Oryctolagus cuniculus: one gene and its partner. The protein of the gene in region 1 interacts with the protein of each later gene in a biochemical or structural test. Links are inferred from orthologs where the notes say so. Each region holds a gene or a part of one and is shown in the gene's direction. Other genes may lie near its edges.

Region 1 (3,500 bases):
TAGTAGGAGGCTATGGCAGCCCTCATGGAGACTTACCCATTTACGTTAAAACTGTGTTTGCAAAGGTAAGCTTGCACATTCTAACCAACTGCTTTGCCCCGAAAAATTCATTAATAGTGGTCAGCAGCTGGCTTATTAGTTTATGGCCTGAGGTAATGCCAAATGGTTAACAGTTGATCATTTTCTTTCGAAACTCCCTACAGAAATAGGTCATTAAATATTTTTGTCCAGTTTGAGGTTTAGTCATGTTTAAAGGAAAATAGACTCAAATTGAAGCTCCGTGGAAACTCTTGACAGTATACATAACACTATTAATGAACTTTGTGGTTAGGAAAGCCCTTTTTTCTCCTTTGAATGCAAGTTACACATGATTGCTTTTGAAAATGAGACCTTTTAAGTATGTATGCCATAAAGAACTGGAATTATTTTCTTTGCATTTTTTGTTATGAAATATCAAATAGGCAAAGTAATGTACATCAAATACATACACAAATTAACCAATATGGCATTTATTTTACAAGTCTAATTCATTCAGTAAAATAGAAATCTAACCACTAAAATATTGGAGGAATATGAGCCACTCTGTCATCTTTAATCAACTATTTGTGATCAACAAAATCTGATTTTTTTAAAAAAAGAAGGCCACTTATATATAGTTGTAATTGTAGAGGAAGTTCTATCTTGAGAATGTTTAGAGTAAAAATAAAGATATTGTACCATTGGTGAAACTATTAAAATAATTTAAACCCACATAAATATTACTAATATGTTGTTAAGATATTTTCCCAAGAGCTACAAAGTTGGGTAAAGTTACCTACAGGAGAAAATTCAGAATTTCATAATTTTATGATGTAAAGGAGCAAGACAAATCCTTCAAATATTTCTTATAGGGGCTTTATATTAGTACTATGGTCCTTCAATCTATGGAAGCTTCATTCTATTTTGGAGGGAGGTAAATTTATTATTTCCAACCAGTTTAAAGCACTACAGCTACAGCAAGCTAGCTATGGGTTTAATTTATGAGTTTTTTTTTTCCTAAGCTATTGGTATATCCAAAAATATAAACAGCATTTGCCAGTGAATAGAAAAGTCACGCAGTCCTTTTCCTCAGCCTAGGAACAATTTATTTAAGGCATGCTAGTTAGAACATATTTTAAGAATTTCATCATTATAGATTCCTCATTAACTTTTCCATATTTTTAATCTTAGATATTTAATTGCATAATTGTATTCTATAAGCATGCCTTAAGATGTGGTTCTCTTTTAAACAGCAATGTGTGTGTTTAATCTTAATCATTTAGGCCCCATTGGAAATGAAGAAACCATCTACCCTTAGGAAGTAACAACTAAGACAGCTTGAACAGCATTTTCAAAGCCATAGGGGAAAAAAATTAGAATTAGCAGTAGGTTCTACATGCAGGAGTCAGGCCTTATCCTGCTCCAGTCAGTGTTTATGTGGGCTGGTTGCTTCTGCAAAACCTTGGGTTTTATAGTTCTGTCCTTGTCCTATAAAACTGCTTTTGTTCTGTCTTAAACCTTTGGCTTCTTTCTGTAGGTTTTCTTTGTAGGATAGAAAATCCTGCATTCTGTGAAATCTCTCCTCCTAGGCAGATTCCCAAATATTCTTTATTAATTTGAGTTCCTACCAACTGCTGTGCTGAACAGCCAAAAAACCACGCAGCTCAGCTATTGACTTTAGAATTCCCGCTCACATTAGAATCTCAGGGCTGAAACTCTTTAGGTAAAAGGGCTGTTTTGTGTATGTTCATCATTGCTGGTAGCTGCGGAACACCTGTGGAGCAGCAGGAGTACTGTGTGTACACACAGCAATTTACTTTCTTGTTTAGATCTGCTTCTGTTGTGTGGCTGTGCGGCAGCATTTGGGGGACATAAACAAGCCTACTTTGTAATTTCAGGGAGCAGCCTCCGAAGATGGGCGTCTAAAAAGGGGTGATCAGATCATTGCCGTCAACGGACAGAGTCTAGAAGGGGTAACCCACGAAGAAGCTGTTGCCATTCTTAAGCGGACAAAAGGCACAGTCACTTTGATGGTTCTCTCCTGAATTGCCTGCCAGAATTGAGCCAACCCAAGCACCCTTGTTCTCCCCTCAGAGTACAGACTGTGGAACTTGGCGTGTTGATGACTTTTCCTAATGTTAATTTGAGTTTTGAGTATTTTTCTCATACGGAAATGGTTTTCTTATAACCTAGTATCACCTTTTCTTTCCTCTTGCATTTTGTGAACCTAGACCCAGAAGGAGTATTTATTTGCATAGATAAATCCAGTTTTCCTTTTTTTTTTGGGGGGGGGATATATAAGATTTTATCATCACATGGGCAAAATTCTTATGTGCTAAACTGGTTAGTAGAGAAAGAAAAGTAAGTGTAAAGGTAACCAAAGATCTATGTGTTTAGCAAATTAGGTGAAAAAGAAAATATAAAATAAAGAAGAAAATCTTGGAGTTTCATAAATGTGTATCAACTTTGCAACCCACCTCCTCTCCACAGTAAAAAAAAAAAAAATTGTATTGAAAATCTTTTAAAATATTCCCAGCATTTAAAAGTTTTGAATATTCAAAATTGTACCTCCCCAATTATACAGTTTTCCTGCTAAAATTGAATTATGATTGAGTAAACAGCAAATATATGAAGCAGTTCCCCTAAGCTTTATAAAGAAATTATACATAATGCACATTTTGATATTCATTTTCATTTTTTGACCTTTTATAAAATATTTTCCTGTTGCTATGAGTAAAACAATGATACTACCCCATGTTGACTGTGGATTTTCCAAAAGCAACCATGCTGATCATGAAGAGACATTAAAGAATCTAAGAATCTTTTACTGCTGGTTTAACAACTAATGCAATACTAAAACTGTGTTGATCTGCTGTATAATTGGTTTTCAATTAGTATTAATCTTAATGACAGAGAAAAAAGCAATGCATTAGTAATTATTTTGGTTGTGTGCCATTAGTAAATTGATAGAAAAATTAAGGGGATTAACATAACTTCATTTCATTGCCTTATATTAACATCTTATAATACAATAGTTTAAGACTAAGGGAAACAGATGGAACTGTTTATTGCGACAACTGGTGAGGAATTATCATGTGTTCACTCCCATTTTAGAGCGTGAAACTCCTACATTAGAATATATAAAGTCACTTTAAATATTATCTATATTTGTAACAGAAGTAGTGTACAGATATTTTATTACAGCATTTTTGTGTAAATGAAGAATTAAAGTGAATAAATAAGAAGTTTCAGTGGTGCACAAATAAAGAAGCAGGCGTGTTTTTTTGTTTTGTGCTTTTTACTGGCAAAAAGGTTTATTGTATTGTTCGAGACTTACTTAAACTGGTTTTCATCATGTCTGACTGCACATATGGTGTCCATAGTTACAACTAGAGGAACTGTGGAAGGCGTCTTTATGAAAAGCCCAGTACATTTTTACCTCCACAACTTTTTCTAATTTGAGAGATTCATAAGTTCCTCCG
Region 2 (3,500 bases), on another chromosome or scaffold:
TTTTGAATCACTTTTTGTTTGTGCCTTTATACTCCCAAACAGTCAGCCTTCAAGGGAGCGCAGTTTTATCTTTGTCACACAGTTTTCCGCACTTTTCGTAGAATGGCCCAACCTTTCCAGTTAGCTTGGAGCATTTGCAGGAAGAGCACTGGCAATGGAATGGACTGAATGCTACAGGAGTCCCCAATTAGCCTAAGTGGATTACTCCCGTTCTAACTGTTCCCTGCCCTAAGAAGCCAGTATGAGAGCGAGCCTTTGAATTATACCCCTAACTCTTTAAAAATGCATGTGTGTCAACGCCTCCTTTCTGGGATACAGCAGAGTAGAAGACCGTCTTGCTTTCATTTCCGGTTTTCAAATAGGCAAACCTCACAGCAAAGTCAATAAACACTGGGACGACTTCAGCCAGGCACAGAACATGATATTTTCTGCAAATGCTAAAAAAATACAGCCAGATTGAGAGCCGGACAATTGAAACATCACCAGTCACCCAGAGCTCAGGTACAGGTTCCAAGAGCCGTCTTGATTAGTTGGGCAAGCTTGAGGGGCTAACAGGTTAGGGTTTTTTTTGTTTTTTTTTTTTAAATCATCCCAACCCTGAAGCGTGTGTGATGAAGGAGGGCAGACAGTTTGCACAGGGCTGCTGCGCATAGCAAAGCCAGCCCCACCCCCACTGCCACCTTGACCATAAGTATCACATCCGAATGATCTCATTAAATTTGCTTGTCATTTCCCCAGACTTGCTGGAAAGAGGTCCTCGCAACCCAAAACCCCGCCCCACTTCGGAATCCAACTCAGAGGGGTGGCTTAAACAGGAACGGCTGCAAGAAGGCAGTCGTGACCCCTGGTACCACCCACTCGGGGTGCAACGGCGCCCCCTTGCGGCAGCTGCTCTGCACTTAGCCTGTTCCAACAAGGGTGCCACCGGTTCCCGAGACCGGAGCCACCCCTCCCAAGGAAGTGCCCCCTCCTTATCTAGGCCTCCGCCACCTCCTGGTAGGGGAAAGCCCCTCCAACAGCAGACATCAGATCCGAACAGGAGAAGCCAGCTTCCGCTCCAGGCAGTGTTGAAGGCTTATTTTTAAATTCAAATTCGTCCCATTTTGACTGAAAGGGTCTGAAATAATAGGCTTGTATCCTTCACCCTTTGTCTAAATAACCCTGGTAGCATTTGTGTGGTAGGGAAAGCAGAGTTGTATGTGGAAAGTTTGTTCAGTTTTGTAGGTCTGTAATAGAAAGTATGCTTTGTAAGTTTTCTTACATGCAGGCAGAGCTAACCCTCACTGCTCCTACGGTTATCAGGATTAATGGTTATATAGCCATCGATTCCCTTCCAAAACTCAAAGAAGGACACTTTGCTTACATGCATAAAGTATGCCCTACTTTCTAGTACAGCAGGTGAGCCATCATGCACCTAATAATGGAGTTGTCTGTCTTTTTAACACTTTATGGTTGGAACCAACATCTTCCCACCCTCCTGAAATGATTTCCCTGGGCTGCTCTTTGCCTGGGCATCAGGACTTACCCTAAGGCTAGCCTGCTGACTGACAGTGCAACCAGGGATGAGAACCACTGCCTTACGCAGCAGCTCTCAACGTGGGATCGTGAACCAGTTGACATCACCATCACCTGGAACCTACTTAAAAAAAGTTAGCTTGGGCCCGCCCCAGCCTCACTAGGTCAGGACCTCTGCGGCAGGTGCAGCAGCCCGTTTTAAGCAGCCATCTAGGCTGTTGCTCACTCAAGTTTGTGAACAACTGCCTCCAAAAAGCAACTCAGAACAAAGACATCCATACTTTTCTTCAATTCATCCCCTCACACTCAAAATACAACTTTAGTACTAACAGTGTTATTAGAATCTCATCCTTCTGAACAAAGACATATTCCCAGTGTGGATTTTTAATTTAGTTATCATCTTGCACTATCTTTACCATCACTGTATGGGATTGGACCATGGAACTCAATGGCTAAGAGACAGTCCCTAACTTTAGGGACCTACAATCTGGAGAAATACACGTACGGGTAAATAACAGCAGTGTAGTGTGGAAGCTGTGCTAACAGAGGACCCCAAAGCATGTACATACTTTAAGTCAAACTTTAAGATTTGAAAGGCAGAGTTATGGAGCAAAAACAGAGGCAAGTCATCCTTTTGACATAAATTGTCAAGACCCAATACAGTGATGTAGTGGGTCAAGTGGCCGCCTGCAGCACTGACGTCCCATGTGGGTGCTGGTTTGATACCTGGCTGCTCTACTTGGGACCTGGCTCCCTGCTTATGTGTCTGGGAAAGCAGGGGATTGCCCAAATGCTCGGGTCCCTGTATCCATGTGGGAGACGTAGAAGCAGCTCGTGGTTTCTGCCAGGCCCAGCCTTGGCTATTGTAGCCATTTTGGGGAGTGAACCAGCAAATGGAAGATTTGTCTCTCCCAATTCTGATTTTCAAATGAATCTTAAGAAGAGAAGGCCCCTCAAGAGGGACAATTTGAATATGCCTCACTGCACTGACATAATTTCAGGTATTAGAAACTTGTGAACCCCCTATTCACAGCCAGCAGGACTTAATGTAGTTAAAGACAGTTGCTAGCAAGCACTGTTCCTTTCATTGCCCTTTGCCATCACCTCTGCCTGTCTGAGACAAACTTATCACAGGGTATGACCCACACACCCCAAGAGGCGCAAGACTGCTTCCTGATATGGTCCTTCTGCATCCCAGGGTACAGGTGGCCTCTGCCCAGCAAGCTCTGTGCAGTCTGGATTTACTTGGATGTACTCTTCTCCACGGCTTCCATCATGCACCTCTGTGCCATCTCACTTGACCGCTACGTGGCCATCCAGAATCCCATCCACCACAGCCGCTTCAACTCCAGAACAAAGGCCTTTCTGAAGATCATTGCCGTTTGGACCATCTCTGTAGGTGAGTGGGAACACATTTCAGCATCACCTTAGAAATGGCAGTGTGACTTTCCAAAGAGACTTGCTCTGTTTCAGTGCACTGAGCCCTGACATCCTGTATCTATGTTACCCGTCTCAAGATGTGTTTCAACATAGTAATGACGAGAAGTGCTTTAGGAAAGGAAATCTGTTTATGTCATTGCCCGCCAATGTGAATGTGTATTGCTTTGCATATCATACAAATGCTAGTAAGGTTTAACACACACACAGGAATAATGGCACTATTCTCCCCAAGTCACATTCAAGGTCACTAAACCTGGGTGTTTCCCAGAGACCTCATTTTCTATCATTGCTGAACCTGTGGTCAGTCTAAGGATGCAGATCTCATACTCAAGAACTAAGAGTGCCTTAGAGTGTAGAAAAAAGTTCCAGGTGACCAGATTCCATAGCTCAGAAGGAAAAGGTGTGGATGGAACTAAGTGGCAAAACTTGCTTAGGAGCAATGCATTTCAGCTTTCCCATGGCCTCTGTGGCCTCTCTTCCTGCTATGACACCACACCAAGTGATTCAACCCTCTTGGCTAGGTTGACCATACACCCACCCTCTTG

What was found.
Region 2: the proteins of MPDZ (region 1) and HTR2A form a complex in vitro, tested with the Homo sapiens proteins (2 studies listed by IntAct, with this or other methods). The link is inferred for Oryctolagus cuniculus from reciprocal best matches to the Homo sapiens genes MPDZ and HTR2A.

What each region holds. Positions count from the first base shown.
Region 1 is NC_091432.1:175,926,003-175,929,502, reverse strand, and holds the end of MPDZ (multiple PDZ domain protein), read left to right. Parts: coding exon 1-65; intron 66-1,916; coding exon 1,917-2,063; 3' UTR 2,064-3,285; downstream 3,286-3,500. UniProt on the Homo sapiens protein: Member of the NMDAR signaling complex that may play a role in control of AMPAR potentiation and synaptic plasticity in excitatory synapses. Promotes clustering of HT2RC at the cell surface.
Region 2 is NC_091440.1:65,861,964-65,865,463, reverse strand, and holds part of HTR2A (5-hydroxytryptamine receptor 2A), read left to right. Parts: intron 1-2,713; coding exon 2,714-2,914; intron 2,915-3,500. UniProt on the Homo sapiens protein: G-protein coupled receptor for 5-hydroxytryptamine (serotonin).